Rattus norvegicus: one gene and its partners. The protein of the gene in region 1 binds, or shares a complex with, the protein of each later gene. Links are inferred from orthologs where the notes say so. Each region holds a gene or a part of one and is shown on either strand. Other genes may lie near its edges.

Region 1 (3,198 bases):
AAATGAGCTTGCTTTCAGCTTCAATGTGGTTTAGTGGTGGAGTACTTGATTAGCATAAATGAGGCCCTGAGTTCCATCCCAGCCCCAAAGCTGGGTGTGCTGGCTCATGCCTGCCATCTTAAGCACTTGGGAGGATCAGGAGTTTTGAGGCCAGTCTGCTGCACAGTGGGGCCCTGTCTTGGGGTACTCAAGGAAGGAGTTGAGAAGGAGAACAGCTGAAAACAGCTGTGTGGCTGTGTGTAATCCCAGCACAGGGAGACAGGTGCTGGAGGCTTGCTGGGGCTGCAGAGTGAGACCCGGTCTAAAAACAAACCCTATGGAAGATCCCTGGAAAGGGCTGTTCAACCTCCAGTGGTCACAGGTTGAGATCTGAGTTCTTGTTGGGTAGGACTTTGCTGGCTCCACAAACAGAAAGTGATCCTAGCAGAGTTTCACTGTGAGCCACCAAGTACAAATGCCGCAAATGCTTACTGTAGAGGCTGCTCTTGTTTTGGGATCCTCAGGAGTACACAGACTTATATCTTGGGGGTTTGGTTCATCCTTTCACATGTTGGTACAAACTCAGGTTGCCATCCCATGAAAACTTTTCAGACCAACACTGTGATATTCTCATATCTGTTCTCTCTACAGGAGCTAGTGGAGGATGAAGACGATGACTTTTTGAAAGGCGAAGTGCCCCAGAGTGACACAGTGGCTGGCCTTACCCCGAACTCCTTTGACACCCACTTTCGAAGTCCTTCCAGTAGTGTGGGCTCCCCTCCTGTGCTGTTTATGCCAGACCAATCTTCGCTCCTCTCAAGGATCTGTGATTGAGCTACGCTGTTCTCCCCAGGGCACTGTGCCCCACCACTGATCCCGCATTGAACTAGTCTATGCCTCGTGTCCAGCCTCCATGTTGGACTTCAGCCAGCATCTGAAGGGCCCCAGGTTGTGTGTGTTTGCAGTTTGCTCCCTGTGGACATAAGGAAAGATTGAGTGTCATGTGCAATATTTCACAGTGAACAGAGCAATCTGTGCCTACAGCCTTCTAATTGCTGGCTCCATGCTACATCAGCCTCACCTGGCAGGTGGCCTTCTGACAGGTTCCTTTTTGTTAGACCCACAATCACATGACTTTGTTGGTCTTGTTTTGGGGACATATCCTCCAGGATCAGCACTGCCTGTGAATACTTTTAACTGTGTCCTGCTTACAGTGGCATGATGGTTTCCTTTTGACTAGAAGTCTATTTGTGTTGTAGGGTGCATGGGGAGAGGCCAGCCAGAGGTGGGGCTGAACTTTACCAAGGGGACACAAAGGACTGCAGAGAAGCCAGGTGGGCAGAGAGCATTCAGAGAATCACAAAAAGGCACTTATTCAGGATTCCACGTCAGCACAGCTGCAGCAGCCATGGTTCAGGCTGACTGAAGCGGACCTGGGTGTCTGTCAACATTCATTCCACAGTTTGCACAACATGGACTCAAGCCAGAAGAGCTGTCTTATACTAAACAGCCAGCCTTGCTCTGTAGCAGGTGTGTTTGAGGACTGTGGAAGTTGCCTTCCCTTGTATCCTTACATGTAAACTTGTGTATTTGTGAAAATATCCCTTTAAGTATATTTAATTTTTTGCCACTTATATTTATTTAAAGGGAAGTGATATTTTCTTGGTCACAATATTTTTTAATGGAATTCTTCTCAAGGTTTATATACTCCTGTGTAATGAGACTGATGCAGAGCCCTGGATTTTAGTCTGCCTATGAATACCTTTTTGAATCAGGAAAACTTTATTGCTTTAAAAAGCTTTTATAAGAGGCAGGCAAATCCCTGAGTCCCAGGCCAGCTTTGGTGGCAAGTCACTAGGAAACCTCAAGATTCTATATGTCTTTCTTTTACAGTGTAGTCCTGGCTATCCTGGAAATCACTATGTAGCTCAGGCTGGCCTTGAACTCAGAGATCTAGTTGCCTCCAACTCTGGAGTGCAGGGAATTTGCACCACCACTGCCTGGTTCAAGGTTCTTACTTAACTGCTGACAGAAAATGCAATGAAATTGCATCTGTAGATTCTGACGGGATGTCAGGTTTGGACAGTAGCTAGAATGTAGAAGGTATGTTGACAAATAAGCCTCTTGGAGTATAAAGGAGTTTGAGGGGAAAAATCTATTGTGAAAATGAAAGAACAGCCTAGCTCACCTGAGGCCTCCCTGTTCACAGCCAATGCAGGCTTTAATAAAAAGACTCAGCCATGCCTCCATGACTCCTGTGTTGGTTCTTACCCTCCTGCTCCTAAAGGGAGTGAGATGGTTAGCAACAAATGGGCATTGGTTAAGATGTTTCCTGTGCTTTAAACAAATCTGTACGCTTGAGAGAAATTGCATCCTATCTAGCCATGGTTATACACTTTCTCTAATTTCAGCACTTGGAGGCTGAAGCAGGAACATTTTTAAGTTAACATCAGACATATTGTGATGTTTTTAAAAGCTAAAACATTTTTGGAAGAAATTAGTAAGGTCTCCTTGGAAAACAAAGAGAATTTTCTTTTTTGTACTGAGGATGGAAACCAGGGTCTTAACACATAACATGTACCCAGACAAGTCTCTGCCATCTCGAGGGGAGAAGTTTGCAAGCGCTCTGTGGTTTATAGCTGCGTGCTGCTAGTCCATGACTGGAGGACTCTGCATCTTATTTCAGGCTATTGCAGCCTGGGTCCTGAACTTATTGTGTGGTTCCTCAGCTCCCTTATGCCTTCATGTCTGGCTTTAGTATAGTAAACAGGCTATAGGCAGCACTCAGTCCTTGGGATTCTTCCACTGTTTACTAAGTTTCTACCAATGCTTGTTCTCTCTCTGTGTCTCTTTTCTGAGACAAGGTTTTTCTCTATACCTCTGCTGTCCTGTAGCCCAGTCCTCAAACTCAGATCCACCTGCCTCTGCCTCCCAAGCATGTGCCCACCCCCACCTCCCATTTGTTGTTTGTTTTCTTCACAAGCTTAGGATTGACAAGAATTTATACAAGGTAAAATCTTCTGGGAAGAAGAACCTCAACTGAGAAAGTCCCTTTATCAGACAGGTCTGTACCTGTTAGATGGGCCTGTGGGCAAGTCTGTAGAGCATTTTCCTGACTAATGGTTGATGTGGAAGGGCCCAGCCAACCAGGGGAAGTACCGCTCTGGGCAGATGGTCCTGGGTGCTATAAGGAAGCGGGCTGTACAAGCCAGGAGGAAG
Region 2 (5,050 bases), on another chromosome or scaffold:
GCTCATCTAACCATCTTTAACTTCAGTCCCAGAGAGTCTGACATCTTTTTCTGACCTCTCTGGGTACCGGACATGCAAACAGTGCACTTACACACATGCAAGCAAGACACACACACATAAAAGTGTTAAGTGAAATGATTGAAAATTTAAAATGACTCACAAGCTAACTGGATGGTTCGTGACATTTGAAAAAAGTAGTAATGAAGGGGAGGGCAGAGGAGACGGCTCAGCTGGGAAAGGGTCTGTTGCACAGACATGAAAACTTGAATTTGGATTCCTGGGATCCATTTAAAAGTAAAGAAAATTCTGGGTGTGGTAGTCCACATGTACAGAATGGGCTCTACTAGATCTGGGAAACATGGGACAGTGGGAAAATGAATGTCCAAAACGCACTGACTGGGTAACCGGCCTAGTCTGAGCTCCAGGATCAGAGATTCTGCCTCGTAAGATAATGTGGAGAACTGGAAGTGGCGGCATACATTAATTCCAACGCTCTGGAGACAGAGGCTGATTGGTATCTGGAAGTTTGAAGCCAGTCTGGTCTCCAAAGATTTCTAGGCTAGCCAAGAATATAATGAAACCCTGTCTCAAAACACACACACACACAGAGAGAGAGAGAGAGAGAGAGAGAGAGAGAGAGAGAGAGAGAGAGAGAGAAATACCCAGTGTCTAACACTGGCTACCAAATATACACATGCACAAATACATGCATACATCCACATGAACACATAAATACACTACACCTACAACATTCTCCCCACCACAAACATACAAACTGAAGAGAAAAATCTGACATCTTTTTCTGACCTCTCTGTAAGAAAGATCTGGAGAAATTACCCAGAAGACTCTATAAACAGAAATGGGATGGAAAATACAAAGATGAGAGATGTGAAAGTCTAATAAGAAATTTGAGGACATGGGGGACAAGCAATACTGGAATGGGATAATGGCTGATATATTTCCAGACTGACAAAAGGTAAGTCAAGTCTCAGCTTGGGAAACCTAAGGGACTGGTATGTGGTTGAGCTGGTAAGAGTGCTTATATAGTTCTCCCAAAGCTCAGAGTTGGATCCTCAGAACAGTTATGGTGGCACCGACCCGCCTGTAATCCTTGAATCTCAGAGGTAGAAGCAGCATAAGAAGATTAAGAAGAAGAAAAACATTAATTACAATTCTAAAGAGAACAAATACAAGAGAGCTCGGGGCACCACTGAGTGCAGAGCACTTCTTTCACATGCCTGAGGCCGAGAATTAAAGCGGTACCCCCAGGAGAAAGGAAAACAACAAAAAGCAAAAGCACAGAAAGCCACACAATTATGTAGAACTACACAACAACCAAGACAAGACTGCTCCAAACCATCCAGACCACGTCCTTTGAATCATGCAAGATTATGTCAAGTCACTCCTTCACAGTGTAAAATTTCAGCATGTTGTCCAACTGTGCAGAACAATGCCTACTTCCTGTGCTTTAAATTTTCCTAGAAGCTTTGGTTTTCATTTTGCTTTGGTGACAGCCTGTGTAGCTCAGGCTGGCCTTGAAACCACGATCCTCCTTTTGAGGCACACATTACCACACATAGCTCTCTTTTCATACATCTTAATAGGTTTAGAAAACTAGCTGTAAAAACAGTAAGGGGGTGGGTGTTGGGGGGGCTGTGAGATAGCTCAACGCTTAGGAGGATCTGCAGAGGATCCAAGTTCAGTTCTCAGCACCCACATCCAAAGGCTCAGAGCTACCTGTAATTCCAGCTCCAGGGACCCAAGGTCTCTGGCCTTGGTGGGTACCTGCACGTTCAAATATGCAGATATAAACACCTACACATAACTTTAAAAGATAAACAGTCTTTTTAACAAGCCAGCTGCAGTGGCACATGCTTGAATCTCAGCACTCAGGAAACAGAGGCAGGAAACTTGAGGTTAACCTAGGCTGTATGGTTGAGAGTTCAAAGCCAGCCTGGGTGAGCTCTAAGTCTTGAAAAACGCCAAGTAAATAATAAAAATAAAAAGGGGCTACAAACCCTCCTCTAATGAACCGGACCAAATGAAATAATATGAGTCTGTCATTAATGTTGTTTTGCAAGCACTGAAAAGGGGCAATGGGAGGGGTAATCGTCTCACTTGCAGTTGATACAGGTATAGAAGACAGTCTGTCCTTCATCAGCTGAGCGCATCTGTCTGGTGTAGTATGCCATTCCCTCGTGACCACATCGGGAGCAGCGCCTGTCAACCTAGGAAGGAACAGAAGGGTTATGGAGTTCTAATCATAGTCTCTGCTTCCACATAGAAATCAGACTATTGCACTCCTTGGACATTCTCACGGAATGGAGTGCAAAACCAGGTCTCCCAATTCCCCTTTCCATTGTTCTTTTGGAGCTAGTCCTTATCAACTTACTACTGGTCCCTGGGATTCAGGTCCCTCATCCACAGACATAGGTATGACAGTCCCCAGTTTGTTGAACACTACTGAGGTCTTCACAACCTTCCCTCCAAAATCTGCACAGGAAGTAAAAATAAACAAACCAATAAAAAATAACAGTAGAAATAGCAAAAGAGGCAACGAATCCCAGCAACACTCTCCCAGGTGAGTCACGACCTCCCTTTGAGTTTCTTCCCTTGGTCAATGTCTCCCTAACAGATTCCTGTTCTGAGTCTCACCTCCCTAAGCCCAACCAGTGCTGAGGTCACCTCCATCGTGGACGTAGCTAGCATACCAGCCCCTCACCTCGCACATCGATGGAGAAGCCACAACGAGGGCAGATGACAGTATCCTGAACTCCAGGCAGCGGCAGGACGGAGCCACAATCTGGGCAGAAATCCAAGTCTGATTGAAAGTTGGAGCAGGGGCGGGCCAGCTCCATGGCGGATGAGAGCTGGGAAAGAGGAGTTTATTATTGAGGCGCAGGAGTCTGGCCTTGAAGGTGGTTCCTCACCGCTTCCCTAGCGGGAATTACCTGAGTCCTCCTCCCACAGGATCCTCTGACCGCAGAGTTTGGAGTGCTAGGAGCCTGGAGCCTCAGCTGCTGGGGAGCCTTGTGCGGCAGGAGGTAGGCGGAAGGGAGATAGAGTACAGATCCCAGCCGCGGGCTAGAGCGTCCGATCCCAAGGCGCCAGGCAGCGAGTGCGCCCGGCGGGCTAGAGCGTCTTCCGGGTCCTGGTGGCCGTTGGGTCGTGACGTCATAATTAATGGCGCAGGTACTCGAGGCCGCTTAAGGGAAGGAGCCGAACCTCTGGCGGAAGGGAATATACGGCGGCACGCAGTCTGGGACTATGACGTCGACCAAGTTAAGGCGAGTAGCTAGTGCTAGGCCACTCGCTATTTTCCTGCTCCGCACTAATCCTGGACTATTTGCTTTTGCAGGGAATCCTACACGTAGCAGGGGAAGGGGGCGGGAGCGTCCCCCTAAAACTGTACTGATTTTTCCAGAGCAACTGATACCTCTTGGATTGAGAGAACCGCAACTTTTGCTGGTTCCCGAGACCGTTTTGTTTTCCTTTTGCAGCCGCTCAGTAGTCAAAAGCAAAGCTAAGAAGCATTCTTTTGGGCCCTCCTGGCCGTTCGTCTCTCGGCTACACCGGCTTCCTCGCGTCAGCTTTGGGCAGTTCTGAGCACTTGAGTGAGTCAGCTTCGTAAGGAGTGTGGAATGGTGAGGGTGAGAGGGAGTTTAGGGATTTGAAGATGGTGCAACTGGTGTGACTAGGGCTCTTCTCTCCCTAGGCACTTGCCAGATGAGGGAGAGGGAGGTTAGTTATTAAAGCACTTCTTTGGATTTACTAGGAGATTGGTCTTGGCTTTCACTTGCAGACCATCTTCCACTCTCCTAAGCTCCCATTCACCCGTGTTTAAATACCTGCCATCCAGTAAGTGAACAATAGAGTAAATGTAAAGTCGTGTCGTTTCATTCACCAGAAGCGTACAAAGTAAGGAAAACGTATACTGAAGAAGGACCAGCTTGAAGACAGCGTCCCCAGCCCTCCAGCAGCCAACCTGATTACCATGCTAAGTCACATAACTACTTTCTAAAGGACATAAACTACTCTTTCATAGAAGAGACCCTCATCTGTCTTTCTGTGCACTTATTGTGAGATTAAACCCTGGAGAAGTAGTTAAAACCCCTGAGCAAGATGCCGGAGGACAGACCCTGTCGTTTTACTTAGGGGTGAAACTGGCAAAGCTCTGTTGCCGAGACTGTGATGGTTGAACTCTAAATTTTACCTGTGTCTTCTTTCAAAGTAGAAATTAGCCCCACTTTCCCTTTAAAGTTGGACATTCTTCAGACATCCACCGTGGTTTGACCGCTGCCTTTACTGCACAAGCAGTATAAGGCATGACGTTCCTTTCCCATTAAAAGCTCTGTCTGTCCAATACATATTTAGCACCTGTGTAAGGGTTAGAGCTGAGACCAGACTGTGTAGTTGAAATCTGTGTTCTCTCTTTAATACAGATGAAAAGTTAGAATATGGAGAAAATACACTAGTCGGTGCTTGAACCAGAGATACAAAGTCTACAGTATATAGCTCTAGATTTCATGGAAGACTGGCACACGCTTTAATAAAAGATACAGCATGTCTGTGTGGTCGTGCATCCCTTTATCTTAGTACTAGGGGAGCTGAGGCAGGAGGGTTGTGAGTTTAAAGCCATCTTGGGCTACAGAGCAAGGTCCAAGCCAGCCTCAACATGTAACAAACTTCTGTTATGGTTCATGTGTGTGGGGGTGCTCATGCGTGTGCATGCATGCCTGCTGGGATGGACCCCAGGGCCTCAGTAGGTAAGCCTTTTACGACTGAATTAAATCCCCAACCCTGAGATAGTTGTGAGGGAAAGATTAGCTACTGTGTGATAATGATTAGAATTTTGAGACTTATGATCATAGTACCATATTGGATGCCCTGTGCAAGAAATGAAAGTATCTGGCTGTAGAAATGGCTCGGTAGTTAAGAGCTCTGGATGCTCTCAGAGGACCCCGGTTCATTTTCCATCATCCATGCCACATGGATGCCCACAGCCATTTATAACTCCAGTTCTGGGAGATCCAATGCCTTCGTCCTACCT
Region 3 (4,919 bases), on another chromosome or scaffold:
TTTCTGCCTGTTGGTGCCACATCCTACCGCACCACTACAGTCAGCCTCACGGGGTTCTCACCGATGCCCTTGACGCAGTGCATCATCAGGTCAATCTCCTGGCCGGGCCGAAGCTGGGCAATGAGGATGTCGTCATGCACAGGGCGAACCGTGCCCTCCGGGAAGACATCAGCCTGGTTTCCCAAGGGCACCCACGTCATGTGCCTGGTATAAACTGGAGGGAAAATGTCAGAAACCCCAGATCCTACAATTGCCCACCCAGGCTGGTGGGCCCTCTCAGCACCGCTCACCTTTGTGGTTCACATAGAGTTCATTGGGGTCGGAAGAATCCTTAGCAGCACTGGGGTTCCTGGTACACCTGACCTGCAGCCGAAACTGTAGTGTATCTATCTCTGTTCCCTCCTCCTCTCCTGTACAGGGAGAAGCAGCAGGGTTGGTTTGGCTCTGAGATAGGGTTTCACAAGCCCTGTCTATCCTGGAATTTGCTGTGTAGACCAGGCTGGCCTTAAACTTCTGCCAGTCTTGGGAGTAAAGATGTACACCACCATGCCTGCCTGGCCCTACTAGCTCTAGTAACGGGCTGACAAGAAGCCTCAGAGGGTGCATGCTTGCTTAAACCTACAGACCCAACTTCAATCCCTAGAAACCATGTAAAGGTGGAAAGAGCCTCTGAGCGCTGCTGGCACTGTGCTAAGAGTGAGGGATTAAAGGCAGGGGCAAGAGAACGTTCTCACAGGCGAAGGCCCATGTACAAGAGCCAACTAAGATCACAGTTAATTAGGCCTGGGATCTGAGCCCATGACAGATTCCAGGACAGTTCTGCCTAACTCATAATCTCAACCTCTCAGCCTTACCTGGGTTCCGATATTCAAAGAGACGTGGATCAGCAAGAATGGGGATAAGCCCCAGGCGGTGAGCAAGGATCTCATCCTGGACGATGGATGTGTTGTTATACACCAAAACCTTTTCCACAGCCATTGTTGGCACCTGCCCAAGGAAGCAAAATGATCTACCTGACCTCCACCCATCCCCTACCTGGAAAAACGAGGGGCAGCCCTTCTTAGTTTTGCCCTTCAGATTTGATACAAGGTTTACTGTGTAGTTCGGACTGCCCTCTGAAGTGTTCATATTATAGGTGTAAACCGCCCCACCCGCCCGGTAGTCTACAGATGGGGTGACAGTTTCCACACTCCAGCCCGCGACTTCTAATACCTCAGCTAACAGAATCCTCCGGAAGGCATTGGCAATGGCAGCATCAATCCCCACCATGTCGAACTCCAGTGTGCTCTCGTCCATATGCACCACGTCCACACGGAAGTTCTAGAGGGGTAGAGAAAGCCCAGTGGGTGGGAAACCTGTTCCTCTTGTGTGAACCCAGTCTACCCTGGCACTATCCCCCAAGATCATCAGTAGACATTTTGTCTCTAGTCCCACTGGGAGGGCAGTGTACTGTTCCTTGTTTATGTTTTTCAAGACAGGGTTTTTCTGTAGCCCTGGCTGTCCTAGAACTCACTCTGTAGACTAGGCTGGCCTCAAACTCAAAGATCCACCTGCCTCTGCTTCTTTTTTTCTTTCTTCTTTTTTCTTTTTTTTCGGAGCTGGGGACCGAACCCAGGGCCTTGCGCTTGCTAGGCAAGTGCTCTACCACTGAGCTAAATCCCCAACCCCCTGCCTCTGCTTCTTGAGTGCTGGGATTAAAGGTGTGTGCCACTATGCCTGGCTTCTCAGATAGTCCACAGACCACCCAGCAAAGCTACTGTACAAAAAGCAGAACTTCCCACCTATTTAAACCATTTGATACTTGCATTTTTTAATATCTACTTTTCCTTATCTAAATTTTCTCTTCCACCCAGTAAACGTTACTTTCTCCCAGGTTCTAAATCCCCTGGGTGACCTTCATGCTGCTGACTCAAGCAAGGGCATAGCAGCTCCTGACCTTGGTCTGACTTCAAGCATCACCACTCGACCGGTAGACTTCGCAAACAACTGTGCCATCGCCCTGGTCCTCCCGCTTAGCAAATGACACAGCCAGCAACACAGTTCCCCAGTGTGGCTGGAGAAACCACTCGGCAGTTAAGAGCACTTACTGCTCTTGCAGAAGAATGGATTTGGTTCCCAGCACCCAGTGGGACCTCCTCACACTGCTGGGAGCAGTGGTGCACAAATACACATGCAGGCAAACATACATACCAAGAAAAGGTTATCCGTTCCTCAAGCCACAAGGTCCTTTCTCACACTGCCCTCACCACAGCAATGGTCTGCATCAGCTAGTTACTACTCTCACTCCATTACCACCATCTGCAGTTCATCCATGCCCCCAATTTCAGCCTCCATACACTAGCTGGCAGATTCGCCAGATTCATTCCTTCCCAGCTATCAAGACTGCAAAATTTTATCAGTCTACTGAAAAATTCTAACGGGGCATGGTGGCTCATGCCTTTAATCCTGTGCACGGGAGGCAGAGGCAGGTGGACCAATCTGAGTTTGAGTCCGGCCTGGTCTACAGAGGGGGTGCCAGGGCAGCCATGGAACCCTGTTTCAAAAAGACATAAAAATAAAAATCTATCACCTACAGAGTCTAAAATGCATTCCAATCTTATCTACTGCTCATGCTGGTGGACTTACATTCTGACAAAAATGAGCTGCTGCAGCTGACTAAGAGCAAACCTTATACAAGCGTTTATAATGAAACTCGAATTAGGCCTTCACCGCTCAACTTTTATTCATAGTTCAAAGCTTAATTCAAATGTCACTCCCTAACTACGTCCCTTCAATTGGCTGGATTAAGTGCATCAATGATTCCTACCCCATCCCAGCCATCTTCATCGCTATTTTATTATACTGAAATAACTTGTTTGTGGCCCATTACCCCACCGAGAGCAAACAATTTATTCCACAAACAGGAGCGGTGTCTGACGGCCCGTCCATGGATCGGGAAACATGTTTTCATGTTTCATGAAAACAGAGATCCCCAACCCAACCTGTGAGGTCTGGCCCCTCAAACCGTCTGGACACTTCCAGCCCTACCCACCTTCTCGAACCGGTCCTGGTCCCAGGCATCATCATAACCGGAGTAGTTACCGGGAAAGTCAGTGGTGTGGACCTAGAGCCAACAGAAAGGGCAGTGAGGCCAGGCCATACACCAGGCCTCCTCTCTCCCGTGCCTCCCCCATCACTCCCGCGGTCCGATCTCTTACATTGCGAACCCCAAACTCTCCCAGAACCACGCGAGTCCGCATTTCCTCCACCGCCTGAGCAGCCGCCATCTTCCACCATCAGCCGTGAGAGGAGGCTCCAAGTTAGCGCGTGCGTGCTAGCGGCCCGCCTCCGTCTCCGCGGCAACGTTCCGTCTCCGGCAATCTTCACTGTCGCGATATCTTGTCCCGCCTCTGTCCACGTCCTTCACTTCCGGACGTCAATTGGGGCCAAACATCCGGGTTTCTCACTTTTGCGTTCCGGCTGGTCCTACCTCGCCTAGTCGCTCCTCTGAACCTTTCCTTCCCTCGGGCCCAGGTCTCACACTATTCCCACGAGCGCTAGCTTCAGCGACGGGAAGCCTCGAGGGACATGGCGACTCAGGCGGCGCCGGCCAGCGGCGTCCGAAATGGTGCTGGCCCGGAATGGGGAGGCTTCGAAGAAAACATCCAGGTATTGAGAGCTCTTGCTGCCAGCAACTCCCCGGGCTGGCGGCCGAGTGTGGTTGCTATTTTTTCTCGCGGCGTGGAAGTCGGCTCTATTGCCACACTGCCTGTCCTCTTTCAGTCTTCCACGCGAAAGTGTGTAGAGCTTGTGCTGGCGTGAAAGGGCTAGATTAAGGTTCGAGTCTCTGTACCTGCCCGGGGCTTTGCAGACGGGTTGGGGGATCTGCCTGGATCAGGCATAGTATGGGACTACAGGATAGAATTTCGGCACTTCCTAAAATAGGCTTGTTTGAGAGTTGGGAAAGGCAGATGGGCTTCTTTGCAACTCTTTGGAGCTTTGGGAGGGGCGGGGGGGGGAGGGCGAACTACAAGTGTCGCCACCAAGAGTTGCCAGCAGTGAAAGGTTATGTATAACACAGTGGGTAGCAGTTCCAAGCCATATCCTCGTCAGTGGAAGAGCAAAGCCTCAAACTGTCAGATGAGGGGAGAACCAAAGGATGCAACGGAAGGGCCCCTCACACTAGGAGCCATTGTCTTCACAGGGTGGGGGCTCGGCTGTGATTGATATGGAGAACATGGACGATACCTCAGGCTCCAGCTTCGAGGACATGGGTGAACTACATCAGCGCCTGCGTGAGGAAGAGGTAGATGCTGATGCAGCTGCTGCAGAAGAAGAGGACGGGGAGTTTCTCGGCATGAAAGGCTTTAAGGGACAACTGAGCCGGCAGGTAGCAGATCAGGTAAGCCAATGGAAAGGAAGACCTGTGTGTGTCCTAGGTTGATACACTTTTTCCACTTAGACCTACATACACAGAAATCAAGCGGAGGCCGGGTAACCGTCTAGAGCCAGGAGTTTTTCATAATACCCATCTCCTTTCAGATGTGGCAGGCAGGGAAGAGACAAGCTTCAAAGGCCTTCAGTTTGTATGCCAATATCGACATCCTGAGACCCTACTTTGATGTGGAGCCTGCCCAGGTCCGAAGCAGGTGAGGAGCCTTCTCTGAAACATCTGTCCTCACATCTAGACCCTCGTCCAGACTTCAGTCAGATACAGAGCCCTGAGCTCTGGTGGGCTCCCATATTTGTAACCCCATCACTCTGGTCACTGAACTTGTTGCTGAATACATGGTGAAAAGTACAATTGGCTAGGTCCTCCATCAAGTGCGCTAACCCCCGCCCCCGTCGTTCCCCCACCCCCACCTGCACCTCCCTCAAATGTGCTGACCCCCCCCTTCCCTCTACACCTCCATCAAGTGTGCTGACCCCTCCCCCGTTCC
Region 4 (5,078 bases), on another chromosome or scaffold:
CATTTGTTTTCTACCTTTTTATTTATTGGTTTATTTATAGACATAGTCTCACTATGGTCATAACTTGGTATATACATTGGGCAGCCTCACACACACGTCCACCCACCTCTTTCTCAGAATCAACGACATGAGCAGCTTTTCTTCCCTTAAGAGAGAGAGAGAGAGGGGTTGGGGATTTAGCTCAGTGGTAGAGCACTTGCCTAGCAAGAGGAAGGCCCTGGGTTCGGTCCCCAGCTCCGAAAAAAAAGAAAAAAGAAAAAGAGAGAGAGAGAGAGTGAGAGAGAGAGAGAGACAGAGAGAGAGCGCGTGTGTGAATGTATGTGTGTATGGGTGTCTGTGAAGGCCAGAAAAAAGGCACTGAATCATAGGAAGCTAGAGTTATAGACTGTTTTGGCCCACCTGACATGGTTGTAGGGAATTGAACTTGGGTCCTTGAGACTAGCAGTCAGTGCTCTTAATCTCTGAGCCATCTCTCCAACCCTTATATTAAGGATAGGTTCTTACTATATTATACAGACTCGCTTTTCTTGGGCTCAGGCGATCCTCCCAAGTAGTAAGCTTGCATAGCTTTATATCTGCCTAAGACAAACACACACTTTTTTGGTGACTGGCTAACATGGGTGCTGGGGACTGAACTTTCAAAGAGTAGTAAATGCTCTTAACCACTGAGCCATCTCTCCAACTGTAACACACACACTTATTTTGGCGTGTGGTGTGCTGGGACTGAAATCCAGACTTCACATCTGCCTAGAATATACTCTATCACTGAGTGACACCCCAGCTCTATAATTTTCTATTGTTAATTTTTCTTGTTACCCTCCTGTACTATTAGCTCTATAAGAGCAAGAATTGGCTTTCGCAATCCTCTCAACACTCTATTCCGAATACCTAGGACAATATCCAAATCATATATTGGGTTTTTAGTCGTTGAATAATTAAATGCATGCAGGTTCATTCACATAGCAGAGTCTGGAGCTACAATTGTGTGCGGAAGCTGGCTCGTTCTTTGCCTGGTGGCATTCACCATTTAGAAGATGATAGCTGGGACACTAAACACCTGTAAGACTATATATTATGCTAAACCCGGTGAAGGGAGTTGAATGTGGTACTGTGAAGGTCCTACTGTGGTGGGAAGGAGATAGGCTTCATTGAAAGTGCACGTAAAAGATGAGCTAACCATTCCAAAATTCTCCATCTCTGGCCTTTGATTCTCCCCAGAACCCTTCTGAATCCCAAGCTCTTAAGGGAAAACCGCACCGCTCAAGTCTTTGGTCCGCTAATGCACTAACCTCTGAGAAGCTCACAGGTCCCCGGCGTGTAAGCGGCTTGCTTACGGCAGCGGTGGAACCCGGTTCCGTTTGCCACTGCGTCCACCCTCTCCTGTGAAGCCATGGGAGGGTTCTAGGAGGGAGAGAAGGAATGACCAGCCCTCTTCCCGCGTCGCAGACAGACCTCTCATCGCTAGCAACCTAGGAGACTGAGAAGCTGGTGCTCGACCCCTCGGCTCCGGACAGCGCGGTGACCACAGTCCTTATCCTGACGGTCTAGGGCGGAGCGCTCACCATCAGCGATGACCCGGGCGTGACAGAGCCTTCCTCACGGAAATCCTCCGGGGAGCCAGAGTGTGAGCGTCCTCACCAAGCACTCCTTATTACCATGGTAACTAGCAGACACGCCCCCACGCACGCGCATTAGCGCTCGCGATCGACTGCCTCCCGGAAGTGATTGCGCCTAGGTCACGGCGCAAGCGCAAACCACACGTGTTGCCGCAAGGGGCTGAAGCGCGCGTTTCTCTGCTCTGCGACCCGGACCGGCCAGTAAGGAGAAGGTATCATGTCAGACAACGAAGACAAGTGAGCGCGGGCCACGGAGGGACGGAGGTTGTGGTGCAAGCCGGGCTCCTGGAGTACAGGCTAGTGGGTCGGTGGGGCGAAGTCTTCAGAACTTATTACCTCGCGGAGCAGTGGGGACAGTGGGCAGAGATTTCGTCCGTGTAGCCCCTGCCCACCGAGCGCTCCCTTTCTGGAAGTGAATGCCAGTGGTGTAGCTTGCGTAGTCGTGGAAGTAGGGAGGAAAGAGCAACCCAGAGAATGGCCTGGAAGGCTGGGAGCAGACGCGGACTTGGACTAGGTGAGATAGTAGCAAAGGTGGCCAGAAGTGGGAGTGGACTCTGGAGAGCTTGAAGTTTAGTGTTGTTTGAGACAAAGTCTCACTCTGAAACCCAGGCTGGCCGGGGATTCATGATGTAGCTAAGACTAGCTTTGAATTTGCTACAGTCTTTTGCTTCAGCTTCCCAAGTGTTGGTATGTCTGGTATGTGCTACCAGACCCAGCTGGATTATAGACATATTTTTATTTTATTTATTTGGAGAACAAATATAACCATATATCAGGTGGTTCGAACTTAGAGATCCATCTACCTCTGCCTTCCAAGTGATGGGTATTTTTGTTCTTTTTTGAGACAGAGTCTCTCTACATAGTCCTAGCTGTTCTGAAAGTCAGTGTGTAGATTAGGCTGTCCTCAAACTTACAGAGATCTGCCTGCCTTTACCTCCTGAGCACTGGATTACAGGCGTGTGCCACCATGCCTGGCTCCTGATATATTTTAAAGATAGAACCTAAGGGATTCCCTGATGGGCTGGCTGTATGTGTTAGGTCAAAAGATAAACTATGGTAGTCCAGCTATATCAGTAGTATAGATGTATCAGTCAGAACTCAGAGGCTGGGTGTGGTGGCTCACAGGTATAATCCTAGCACTTGGGAGAGGCTAAGGCAGGAGAATTGCCATGAACTAGATGTCAATCTGTGCTAAATAGTGAGTCTCAGGCCAGCCAGAGTTACATAGTATTCAGGAAAACTGACTTCAACACAAGCAGACAAAACACAGGCAAAAATGCAATGAAAGCAGAGATGGCAGTGCTGACCAGGGCAGAGTGCCACCAGAGAAGAGATGGCTAGTTAGTGACTGAGGGAAGAGAACCCAGAAAAGGAGCCCCTTCCCCAGAGTGGGAAGCAGGAGGAAGGAGCCCGGTGTGCTGGCTGTCGGATGAATGTCTGTGGCAAGGGTTCAGCACTGTAATGATCGTTAGTGAAGCTGGGAGTGGTGCAAGTGTTTGGTCCCAGCACTCAGGGCAGACAGGGGCAGAGGGATCTCTGAGTTCAAGGCCAGCCTGGTTATGGAGTGAATTCCAGGACAGCCAGGCAGCACAGAGAGACACTTTGGGAGGGCTGGGTTAATCGGTGAGCACACAAAGGGTGGCTTTGGAGCTTGAGGGTGTGTTGAAAGTCTTACTGAGGCGAGAATATGACAGGGAAGAGAAGAATTGGCAACAGTGGGTTTGGCAGCTTCCTCATACATTTTGTGCTACAGGAGGCTGATGGAATGGCTCAGTGGTAAAGGTGTTTTTGCTGCACAAGTAGAAGGAGAGAACAGGAAAGGTTGTCCTGGTGGTGTATGTGGACCCGGTAACTGGAGGCCATGAAAATGGCAGTGTTGTCTTGGCCTTACGTTTGTTTGTTTTGTTTGTTTTCTCCACCATAAGGGAATATGGAATTAGACTGTAGCAGGAGGAGAAAGAGAATAATGATTGGTTGGCTGGTTAGTTGGTTGGTTTTTTTGTTGGTTTATTTGTTTTTTTTTTTTTTTTGTTTTTTTTTTTTTGTTTTTTTTTTTTTTGGTTCTTTTTTTCGGAGCTGGGGACCGAACCCAGGGCCTTGCGCTTCCTAGGTAAGCGCTCTACCACTGAGCTAAATCCCCAGCCCCGGTTTATTTGTTTTTAAAAGAGGCCGGTGATGCTGGTAGTGTGTTGGTCCTGAGAAGGCTGGGGATTTCATGCATGCTGTATATACACTCTACTTTTGAGTTACAAAAGTAACTCCAGTCCTGGAGTAAACTTCATTTGCCTTTGCTCTTGAGACAGAATCTTACTATGTAGCCCAGGTGGAGTTCAAACTCCTAGTTCTCTTACTTCCACTTTCCAAGTGCTAGGCATACTGGAGTGTGCCACCACACCATCAGATTTCTATTTCTCTTCTTACGATAGGCTGACGAGAGGGATGGCTTAGAGGTTGTCAACACTTGCCAATTTTCCAGGGAGCAAAACCTTCATTCCCAGCACCAGGTAGAACAACTCCAGCTTCAGGGAATCTCACCCTTTTCCGGCTTCCACAGGCACTTGTGTGTGTGTACACTCAAACTTACACAAGATAAACATTGAACAGTCTCCAGACCAGAAAAGTATCCATTTACATGCTGACTAGAATAGTTCACAAAGAGGGAAACCACAACAAACGAGTCCTAGCAAAATGTAGGGACATATGGGACAAAATTGGAGACATAAAGTGACCCACCAAAGTTTGGTTCCCTTGTTGGGGATTTGTCAGTTCCACGTCCGTCTGTCCATCATAGCTGAGACAGTAGGCTGTGTCTCTGCTTCTGGCCAGTGATGCCCTAACCACTGGTTTCTTCTGGCAGTTTCGATGGCGATGACTTTGATGACGTGGAGGAGGACGAAGGGCTTGACGACTTGGAAAATGCTGAGGAGGTCAGTAGCGAGCCCCAGCCTTGGCCCTGCAGCCGGGGACACCGAGGGATGAGCAGTGCTCACCAAGAGCTCTCGCTGCCCTTTTCCCAGGAGTGAGCTTCCACAGATCCGCTCTGGGCCTTCTGAGTGTCACCTCAACTAGGTCTCGGGATTATTGTGTCTTATTATGTATGATTTGTTGTTGTTGGTTTTTGGGACTTGTTCTCAGTAGATAGCCTGGAGTTTACTATTTAAGCCAGGCTGACTTGTAGGTCACGAGAAACCAGCCATCCTCTGCCACCCGAGTGGTAGGATTAAAGGCAGCCCAGGCAGAGGTAACTTTGGTTTTATTCACCACTGTATCCTAGCACTTACAGTACAGTTTGGCATACAGTAAGCACTCAACAAATAGTTACTTTTTTTAATGTGTATCTTTATGCACATGCATGTGTGCCATGTGTCTGTGTATGCAGGCACACTTACCTGTGCAGCACACATGGAGGTCAGAGGTCACTACCAGGCATGGTCCTCTATCGTTGTCCATCTTATTTTTCAA
Region 5 (4,180 bases), on another chromosome or scaffold:
TCCAACCCCCTTGATTTCTATCCAGAAGCAGGCTGGGGTTGCTTCTTTTCTTTTGGGTAGCATGGCCTGATTACTGCTGGCTGTCCTAGTGATCAACATTCAGAGTTGAGTAGAGTAGACCATAAGTGCACAGCCCACAGAATCAAATAACCAGGGCTCGTCGAGGTTCACAGAGACTGCATCGACAATCATGGAGCCTGTATGGGTCTGAGCTAGGTCCTCTGCATGTATTGATGTATAGCTTGGTATTCTTGGGGGACTTCTGACAGTGGGAGCAGGGGCCGTCTCTGACTCTCTTGCCTGCTCTTGGGATACTTTTCTTCTACTGATTTGCTTTGTCCAGACTTGATATGAGGGTTTGTGTCTAGGCTTATTGTAACTTGTTATGCCATTTTCAGTTGATATAACTGGAAGGCCTGCTCTTTTCTGAAGGGAAATGGAGGAGGAGTGGATTTAGAGGAGAACGGTGGTAGGGGGGAAGATTGGGAGGAGGGAATGGAGGGGAAACTGAGGCCAGAATGCAATGTATGCGAAAAAACTAAACTAAAAAAATAAAAAGAGTTGAGAAAGAGACAGAGCCATGGGTGGTGGCACATGCTTTTAACCCAGCACTCAGGCAGAGACAGATGGAGTGCCAGGCCAGCCTGGTCTACAAAGCAAGTTCTAGGACAGCCAGGAGTACATAGAGAGACCCTGACTCAAAAAACAAAGAAACAACAATAAATAAATAATTATTATTATAATAAACCAAGAGTTGAGTAGAGAGGACAGGTTGGTGCCCCAAATCTGCATTTCAGTAGAAGCCAAGACTTCAGAGTCTCCTAAAGTCTGCATCAGGATGTAAGAGGCAAGCTGTGAAAAGGGACAGAAGGGAACCGTTAAAGATACTTCTATCGGGTCCTAATTGACTAATTAAGCTAATATGGGTCACAGAGGTCACACACTAAAGTGGAAAGGGATTTAGTACGGTTTGTAGGATACAAAACATCGAAGTTTAGAGGAAGAGGCAGATCTGCCTGTCTATGTAGTGTTCTCTCTCTCCCTCCCTCCCTTCCCCCTCTCTCCCTCCCTCCCTCCCCCTCTCTCCCTCCCTCCCTCCCTCTCTCGGTGTTTCAAGACACCTCTGTGTTATTGCCCTAAGATGTCCTAGCACTCGCTTTTTAGACCAAACTGGTCTCGAATCCACAGAGATTCCCCTGCCTCCCGATTGCTGGAATTAAAGGTGTCTTGTGTGTAGTTTTAACAGGTCCAACCACGCCATGGTTTAAGTTTCCAGTCGACCGTGAGAAATGGAAGGACCAAAGGTGGGGCGGGCAGAACAAGAGGAACTACATTTCCCAGCAGGCCACGGGGTAGGGTGGCTGTAGGGTTGCTCCGGCCATTCCTGCGGTCCACGAGTGGAGTCGTAGCTCCGGTTTCCCGTCCGGGGCTCGCAGAAGCATGGATGTCGACAGCCGGTGGCGGAACCTGCCCAGCGGGCCCAGCCTAAAGCATTTAACCGACCCCTCGTACGCGGTTCCTCCGGAGCAGCAAAAGGCGGCGTTGCAGGACCTGACGCGGGCGCACGTGGACTCCTTCAACTACGCAGTGCTGGAGGGGCTGAGCCACGCGGTGCAGGTGAGTGGAGCGCACTCTCTGCTCCGGAGCCCGAACCCTCGGCCGGAGGGTCCCTGAGGTTGGAGGAGGTGGCCGGGAGGCCACAGTATGACCTCAAATAGTGATGCAAGCTCACCCTACAGTTCTTTGGGATAGTTCAGAGAGAAAACAACTTATAGCCTAGTGATGGAGGGAAACATGTATTTGTGATTTCTGGATTTATATGTGGGTACGAGCCCTGGTTTTGGGTACTGTGAAAGGAGAGTGAGGACGTGATCTATTTGAGACTGTTTTCCGCCCATTGACAGCGCTCACGCCTTTTCACACCTGGAGTCTTACGTTCTAAAACTACCTCAGAAGGTTCCAAGCTGATTCAGACAGGCTGCAGCAGAGCACATCCTTCAGTTTGCTTCCCTTAGAGTTTCCTTTGGGGGCCAGGAGAGCGGGAACGGTTCGAGACAGGGTTTCGGTAGCGTTTGCTGTCCAGGAACTCCGTAGACCAAGGCTGGCCTCGGACTCACAGACATCTGCCTGCCTCTGCCTTCAAGTACTGGGATTAAAGGTGTGTACCACCACCCAGCTTCTTTTAAGAATTTGCAAGAGGGCTGGAGAGATGGCTCAGTGGTTAAGAGCACTGATTGCTCTTCCAGAAGTCCTGAGTTCAAATCCCAGCAACCACATGGTGGCTCACAACCATCTGTATGAGATCTGATGCCCTCTTCTAGGGTGTCTGAAGACAGCTACAGTGTACTTATATATAATAAATAAATCTTTAAAAAAAAAAAGAATTTGCAAGAGAAAAACTTGCCACCTCTTCTGAGTTGGGCCTGTTGAGGAAGATTAAAAAAAAAAAAAAAAAGCCCAGGGGATCATTGTAACCATGGTAGCAGAGTTCAGGAAAGGACGATAAGGCAAGGTCTCTTTTTGTTAGCATCTGTAGTCCTGGCACTACGCTCTGAGAGTAAGACACCTCTCAGGTTTAAGTGTACCTCACCCTTGTTGGTTGTGTAGGGGTAGCAGGCACCTACAAGCAGTCAATGGCATTCTCTTGAGAACTGCTCTAAGATGTAGAGCTTTTTTAGTCAGGAGCACCATGGAAGTGCAACTATTCCAGGTGTTTAGAAAGGTCTACATTAGATAAGGTTAAGAGAAGAAGATGGTGCGTTCCCTCTGGAGGGAGTAGGTTCGGGGAGGGACATATGTAGTAGACGGTACCCTGAGGTTTTGTTGTCAAACAACTGTATTGTGAGAATTAGGGATGGAGAGATGTGGGAGAGCTTTGACTGTCTGACTGATACTTGGAAATACAGAAGCCATTTACAATTCTTTGAATTGCCAGGCTTCAGTCTGAGGGAATAAAATATACAGAGCTGAACATTTAGATCATCATGTACTTGCCGGTAAAAAAAGCAGTTCTCCTTGTCTTCCTATGCGCAGAGAAGGTGGACTCTTGGCTTAGCGTTTTCTGTGTCTGTAGCACCTACTGCAGAATCAGATACACAGCGCACCATTAAAAAAGCCCTTGGTAAACACATTATAATTAAAGAGTTGGCGAAGTAACCAGTTAGGTATAGCTTTAGTCCCTTTTAGATTTGCTGCGTGGTAGATGTCAGTGAGTGTAGACCATGGTGATTTCAGAGACTCTTAGTGAAGAGTGTGTTAAAAAATGTAAGTGACTTAGCAGGGTGAATTGTCTTTCAGGCCATACCTCCCTTCGAATTTGCTTTCAAAGATGAGCGCATATCTCTTACTATTGTGGACGCTGCCATCAGTCCACCCGCAGTGCCCAAAGGGACCATCTGCAAAGAGCTCAACATTTATCCAGCTGAGTGCCGTGGCCGGAGGAGCACGTACCGAGGGAAGCTGACGGTGAGCATCAGTGGTGGCAGGCAGCCGTCCCTGCACACTTGAGACTAGGGCTGGGGCCTAATAAGGTTATAGGAAAGGCCTGCTTCCTTAGCGTTGCCACTGAAATGATCGTGTCTTCCTCTAAAGGGATCGAGTGTCATCTGAAACATGAAGTCAGTACCTCCTTTTAATATATGAGATGTCTCAGTGGTTAGGAGCACTGCCTTTTCTTCTAGAGGACCAGGGTTTGGTTCCCGGCACCATGGAGGCTCACAGCTGCCAGGAACTCCAGTTCCAGCAGGTCTAAGCCCCTCTTCTGGCCTCCACTGGCACCAGACACACATCTGGTACACAGACGTACATGCAGGCAAAACATTCATATGCAAAATAAAAACAAATACATCTAAATTTTTATTTAAATATTTATTCTGTCATCTCAAGATAATTTCATTTTTTTTTTCTTTTACTTGCCTACAGGCTGATATCAGCTGGGCCGTGAATGGAGTCCCCAAAGGCATCATTAAACAATTTCTTGGCTATGTTCCCATCATGGTGAAGTCCAAGCTTTGCAACTTATACAACCTTCCTCCTCAAGTCCTCATTGAGCACCACGAGGAGGCAGAGGTGAGTGCAGGGATCTAGGCTGCAGGGCAGCAGCAGAGGCTGGGGTTGGAGGTGAGGAACAGGAAGCTGGACCACTGATACGGGTCTGTGCTGTGCCTGACTCTTACCACAG
Region 6 (4,829 bases), on another chromosome or scaffold:
CAGACTTAGAAACTCAAAGTCAAGACCCCAGCACAGCATCTTCACACCCCCTCATCCAGGAGCTCGGAGAGGATGAGCTGACAGAGGGAGAGTCAAACCAGCCACTGCCACCCCAAAGCTGTGCAAGTGACCCCACACTTGCCCAGTCTAGTGAAGGTGGAGACAGTCAGCTGCCTGCAGCCACTCCACTAGGTAACGCTCTGTGGAGGCTCTGTAGGGGTTGGACCACAGACCATCCACAACCTCACTGCTGTGTTCAGGCACAGGCTGTCTGGGCAGTTAGCACAAAACACAAGGGTTGGGTGTGCATTTTAGGTACCTGCTTTTGGCTTATGTTCCCAGTGCTCCCCTTGCACAAGGGGACGTGCACACAATCCATACACACACACACAATACAGTGGGGTAGGGTTTCTGATCTCATCAGAGCACATGACTACAGCCCAGTAAACATGCTGACTGTGTGGGTCTTAAGTGCACATAAGGAGTCTGTGCTGGCCTGGACCGGCGCTCAGCAAGAAGGGCAGCTTTACCAAGTACTGATTTGTTCTCTCCTTACTCCTCAGGAGATGGAGCTGAGAATGAAGCACAGTCTTCGTTGTACCCAGAGGAGCCCAGCACCCGGATAGGCCTGGAAGATATTGAATTTGGCTTGGACTGAACCCCAAGGCAGTCTACACTGTTAGTCTAGCAGTGGTGCAGCGGATGCAGGGCACCCTCTTCTATGTATCCCTGCTGGTTTGCTCCGGCACCCTGCATGGCAGGTGCTGTGCAGCTACACCAGTGTGCCTGCCGTGTACCCAACACATCGGTTTCCCCTGGTTACAGATCCCACGAGAACATAAACACTTAAGACCCGCATGGTCAGCATGTTACTGGGCTGCCAGTCAGGCTCTCTTCTGATGACGTCAGAAACCCCACCCCACTGTATTCAGTGTGTGTGTCCCCAAGGTAGAGCAAGTGGGCTTTACACATCAGACACCATCTGCTCTGACCACAGGACCATCCGGCTCAAGGCAGTGGACAAGTTTATTCAGTCCCAGAGTCAAAGCGTCAACCCCTATTGAACCTATGTGGACTGTCGCACAAATGACCCACAACAGCCATGTCAGGAGGCACTTGGGCTGAGGTACCTTCAAGGACAGGAGGCTAACGCTGACACAATGGCCTCCTTTCTAGCAACCCTGCTGCACTGAGGTGCAGGGGTAGCTCTACCCTGGAGAGTATATGCAGATCCCCAGGCTAGAAGAGCTGGCTGGCCCTTGGCCATGGCTACACAGAGTTCCTGTGCATGGTCTCCTGGCTCTCTCTGCAGCCAGCTCTCAGGAATAACCTACCACCAAATATACAAAACAGATTTGTTCCCCATTGCTTCAGCCTGGCTCCAAACTGCTCAAGTTCCCACGGGCACACTGGGAGGTAGAGGCTCTGCCCTGGAATAGGTAAGCTCAGTGCTCCAGGATGAAGGCTAGGTTCTCAGACATGCTTCCCCAACTCAGAAGCCCATTCGTGGCTTCTTCCGGGGAGGATGGGAGCCAGAGAGGACAGGTGTTTGCTGCCTGAAAGACCTGGTCTGGCGGCTAGAGGTCTGGGAGGGCGGTGTAGCCACAGGTCCTGGATTGTCCTGAAGTGGCAGCTTGGCCATGTAGTCCCGGAGGGTCTGGCGACGTTCATGCTGCACACCTTGGGCCCACAGCTCCTGCGTTAACTCCTGGGAGGGTGGAGTCCTGGGTGGCTGAGGGCAGGCCTCAGAGTTAGAGAGGTCTTGGCTGTGAGGGGCACTGCTGGCATCTGGGGAGTCCATGTAGCTTGTGAACGAGGAGAAGGTGCTAGAGAGCTGAGTCCGGCGCTTGGGCCGCTTGGATTGTCTCTGGGACCCGGAGGTCTGATCTTGATGTCTTTTCCACCAGGCAGCTGCCTGGCCTTCCCAGGCTTTGGTTAAGCGCTCAGTGAGCTCATCCTGCTGGCTACACTGCGGTGCAGGGGGTGGCTCTGCCTTGGGGAGTGTACCGAGGTCCCCAGGCCGCAGGAGCTGCCCCTTGGCCATGGCTGCTTGGAGCTTCTGTGCCAGGGTCTCCTGGCTCTTCTGCCGCTCCATGTGGCCCAGAAAACGGCGGTGGGAGAAGGTGGGGGCAGCCCACACTGGATTAGTGGGGGACAACTCCATCAGCGCCTCCAACCAGCGGCTGCAACGGGCACTGGCCCGAGAGGTCCAAGAGGGTGTGGATCCCTGGTCCACTGGAGGTGCTGCCGCCCTGGATGCAGGCCGTTCTGGTGCTGGGTGATCAGGCTCTCTGAGGCTGGAGGTTTGCTGGATGCGCAGGTGCTGGTAGAAGACGTCCCCAGCTGCTGAGAGCTGGAAGAGCAACAGGCCTGGCGCAGAGGCACAGGGCGGGGCAGCGGCCAGACCTGGACAGGGAAGGAAAAGAGCTGTAGAGCCTGGCAGTACCCCCCCACAGCAGCCCCACAAGGCCTCTGCCTGCCGCACCTATGACCGGCGCCTCCAGACGTTCCTGCAGCTGCTGCTGCCTCTTGGGTTCCAGCAGGGGAAAGGCAGAGAGGGAGTCGGTGATGGAGGGCAGAGACTGAGGAGGTCCTGCCAGCTGGGGAATGGAAGTCCCCTCTCCTGGAGAAAGGACAGAGAGCTAGGCATACCAGTGCCAGCACTAGCATGTCTCCATAAGCTCCCACCCCACCCTACCCCCCACCTGCCAGGCTGACCTGCTATGTGAAGCAGCTGAACCTGTCCACCCTGGCCCCCCAGTAGCAGGGGCCGGGGATAGCCAGGACTAGCTGGGGGTAGCAGGCGGGCAAGCAGGGGTGCAGATGGCAGGCCATGGTCCCACTTAAGCATTGGCACCAGGGGGAGGCGCTCATCCATCAGGTAGATCGAGAACTGAGGAAGAAGGGAGAGTGAGCATGGTGGATTCGTACCAGCCTTCCAACAACCCTTGGCAGGCCACACAGCCTGCAGGAGGACGGCACTTCCATTGGCCTTCAAGTCCCCCTCAATGCGGCCGACCCAACCTAAAACGTATTTTCTGGGCAGCAGCAGGGTTCCCAGAAGTCCCTGACATCCATCCCTGCACTCCCAACAGTAGGCACTTGGGCCAACTGGAGCCCTGAGCCAGAATCAACCTCTGCTTCCTCCCAGGTCCTGAGATCTAGGTTTGCAGATGACCCAGTCCGCCTGCCTCTAGTGAGGTCACATGCACGGGGACCCATCATTCCTTGGTTCCTGTGGCTGTGCATCAGGCCTACTGGCAGCAGTGCTGGTGAAGTCAGAGGCAGAGGCCGAGAAGGCTGCCGCTCACCTGGGTGCAGATGAGATGTAGAGACGTAGAGGCAGGACCCGGCTGCCCGAGGTACTGGGCAAGCAACACCCGTTCTCCTTTCTGGCAGGCAGCTTCTGCTCCAGCACAGAACAGCAGCAGCCCACAGCCCGGCGGGCCCTAGACAAAGTACAGCACACTTAGCCTGTGTCTTAGGGCTGGAGATGAGTCTCCTGCTTAATGCTTCTCCTCACCCCCCTCAACCAATACCTGAATATCAACCATTTTCACACCCGTGCGGTCCCCCACAGTCAGCACCCGGGGATGGGCAGTAAAGTCTGCCCAGCGCCAGGGAGACGGATCACGGAAGGCAAGCGTCTCAGGGTCCTTGTAGATTGTCTGCAGTCTTGAGGAGGAAGGCAGGCCATGAGTGTGGGCCTGGTGGGGGTTGGGGAACAAAGGTGTTGAGGGGCTGGGCTAGAAGGAAGACTAGGGCCATGGAATGGAAGGCCATGGTCTGCTTTGGAGTGGAAGGTTTTGGGGGAGAGGGGAGTTACCCATCTTGTGGGGTCCACAGACACACAGTTCCAGAACGGCTGCAGATGGCCAGCTCTCCTGACAGGTGAGGGCTACAGGGCACAGGTGCTGTGTTATCATCCAGCAACTCAGCCCTTCTCCCAGACCCTGTCCATGCCGGGAAGCCCACATCTTTTACCTGAGGCTAATACCAGTGGCTCCCTTCTCCACCTGTAGCACCTGCAGGGGTGCTGGTGGCTCCTGCTTATCAATCTTCCACACAGCACAGTGGTAGTCAGAGCGGACGGCCAGAAGCGCTGGGGAGGACAGGGAGGTCGGGATTGCAGTGTGTGTGTAGAGGGTGATGGTAGCTAGTTGGACAAGGAAGAGGGAGGGAGGCGGGAGGGAGGGAGGGAAGACATCTTACTTTCTCCCTGGACAGTGCTAGTCACCACCTGCCGTACAGGTCCCCGCAGCTGGATGTGCCCAGGGTCCTCAAGGACCCGAGGGTTGCCACCTGAATTCACACTGACCTCCTGGAAATCTGAGTGCCTGGTTAAGGATTATTAGAGTGGACCCCAGTGGCCCAGCTCACTCTTCCCCTGGCCCACTGTGTGGACACCCCCCCACAACCCCAAAGGAGAAAGGATACACAGCTTGTCCAAGGCACCTCCACTAGGGTAGACCAGCTGCCCGGCCCGTGCTGTCCTTCCAGGCAGCCAGGCCAAAGCACCCCCGGTGAAGGCCTCATCCATCAGCAACTGCTCCCACCTCGTGGCCAGCTCTTCATGCAGCAACCTCCCCATGAGCAATGACACGGACCTGCTTAGGACGGGACCCCCCAGGATAGAGAATCGACGTAGCCGGCGGCTGAGGGAAGCCCAGGGACACCTAGGGACAGAGCAGCAGAGGATAGCACTGGGACAGTGAAGGACATGCAGAGAACCTCTCTCTTAGCTGCCTAGAATACACCGTACCCTGTCCCTGAATATTTCTGTGCCTCCTAGCAAGTGGCTCACAGATGTCCCCAGTCAGGGCAACTGA

Evidence for each region.
Region 2: Rrn3 (region 1) and Polr1h share a complex: the UniProt entries of both Homo sapiens proteins name them as parts of the pol I pre-initiation complex. The link is inferred for Rattus norvegicus from reciprocal best matches to the Homo sapiens genes RRN3 and POLR1H.
Region 3: Rrn3 (region 1) and Polr1c share a complex: the UniProt entries of both Homo sapiens proteins name them as parts of the pol I pre-initiation complex. The link is inferred for Rattus norvegicus from reciprocal best matches to the Homo sapiens genes RRN3 and POLR1C.
Region 4: Rrn3 (region 1) and Polr2f share a complex: the UniProt entries of both Homo sapiens proteins name them as parts of the pol I pre-initiation complex. The link is inferred for Rattus norvegicus from reciprocal best matches to the Homo sapiens genes RRN3 and POLR2F.
Region 5: Rrn3 (region 1) and Polr1b share a complex: the UniProt entries of both Homo sapiens proteins name them as parts of the pol I pre-initiation complex. The link is inferred for Rattus norvegicus from reciprocal best matches to the Homo sapiens genes RRN3 and POLR1B.
Region 6: Rrn3 (region 1) and Taf1c share a complex: the UniProt entries of both Homo sapiens proteins name them as parts of the pol I pre-initiation complex. The link is inferred for Rattus norvegicus from reciprocal best matches to the Homo sapiens genes RRN3 and TAF1C.

What each region holds. Positions count from the first base shown.
Region 1 is NC_086028.1:2,636,042-2,639,239, reverse strand, and holds the end of Rrn3 (RNA polymerase I-specific transcription initiation factor RRN3), read left to right. Parts: intron 1-630; coding exon 631-813; 3' UTR 814-2,223; downstream 2,224-3,198. UniProt on the Homo sapiens protein: Required for efficient transcription initiation by RNA polymerase I (Pol I). Required for the formation of the competent pre-initiation complex (PIC).
Region 2 is NC_086038.1:1,598,172-1,603,221, reverse strand, and holds the start of Polr1h (DNA-directed RNA polymerase I subunit RPA12), read right to left. Parts: upstream 3,053-5,050; 5' UTR 2,952-3,052; exon of another isoform or gene 2,871-2,951; 5' UTR 2,859-2,870; coding exon 2,723-2,858; intron 2,494-2,722; coding exon 2,393-2,493; intron 2,229-2,392; coding exon 2,119-2,228; intron 1-2,118. UniProt on the Homo sapiens protein: Core component of RNA polymerase I (Pol I), a DNA-dependent RNA polymerase which synthesizes ribosomal RNA precursors using the four ribonucleoside triphosphates as substrates. Can mediate Pol I proofreading of the nascent RNA transcript.
Region 3 is NC_086027.1:22,231,721-22,236,639, reverse strand, and holds the start of Polr1c (DNA-directed RNA polymerases I and III subunit RPAC1), read right to left. Parts: upstream 3,323-4,919; 5' UTR 3,267-3,322; coding exon 3,198-3,266; intron 3,104-3,197; coding exon 3,032-3,103; intron 1,321-3,031; coding exon 1,213-1,320; intron 988-1,212; coding exon 855-987; intron 411-854; coding exon 291-410; intron 215-290; coding exon 62-214; intron 1-61. Other genes in the region: protein YIPF3, read left to right, coding at 3,568-3,648, 4,184-4,381, 4,522-4,628. UniProt on the Homo sapiens protein: DNA-dependent RNA polymerase catalyzes the transcription of DNA into RNA using the four ribonucleoside triphosphates as substrates.
Region 4 is NC_086025.1:112,591,276-112,596,353, forward strand, and holds the start of Polr2f (DNA-directed RNA polymerases I, II, and III subunit RPABC2), read left to right. Parts: upstream 1-1,788; 5' UTR 1,789-1,833; coding exon 1,834-1,853; intron 1,854-4,473; coding exon 4,474-4,543; intron 4,544-5,078. Other genes in the region: C7h22orf23 (UPF0193 protein EVG1), read right to left, coding at 1,290-1,401, 1,563-1,565. UniProt on the Homo sapiens protein: DNA-dependent RNA polymerase catalyzes the transcription of DNA into RNA using the four ribonucleoside triphosphates as substrates.
Region 5 is NC_086021.1:136,785,750-136,789,929, forward strand, and holds the start of Polr1b (DNA-directed RNA polymerase I subunit RPA2), read left to right. Parts: upstream 1-1,380; 5' UTR 1,381-1,440; coding exon 1,441-1,617; intron 1,618-3,297; coding exon 3,298-3,465; intron 3,466-3,921; coding exon 3,922-4,068; intron 4,069-4,180. UniProt on the Homo sapiens protein: Catalytic core component of RNA polymerase I (Pol I), a DNA-dependent RNA polymerase which synthesizes ribosomal RNA precursors using the four ribonucleoside triphosphates as substrates.
Region 6 is NC_086037.1:64,560,071-64,564,899, forward strand, and holds the end of Taf1c (TATA box-binding protein-associated factor, RNA polymerase I, subunit C), read right to left. Parts: exon of another isoform or gene 4,763-4,829; intron 4,677-4,762; coding exon 4,438-4,676; intron 4,330-4,437; coding exon 4,213-4,329; intron 4,103-4,212; coding exon 3,985-4,102; intron 3,899-3,984; coding exon 3,827-3,898; intron 3,676-3,826; coding exon 3,540-3,675; intron 3,450-3,539; coding exon 3,312-3,449; intron 2,894-3,311; coding exon 2,719-2,893; intron 2,624-2,718; coding exon 2,486-2,623; intron 2,407-2,485; coding exon 1,493-2,406; 3' UTR 1,009-1,492; downstream 1-1,008. Other genes in the region: Dnaaf1 (dynein axonemal assembly factor 1), read left to right, coding at 1-626. UniProt on the Homo sapiens protein: Component of the transcription factor SL1/TIF-IB complex, which is involved in the assembly of the PIC (pre-initiation complex) during RNA polymerase I-dependent transcription.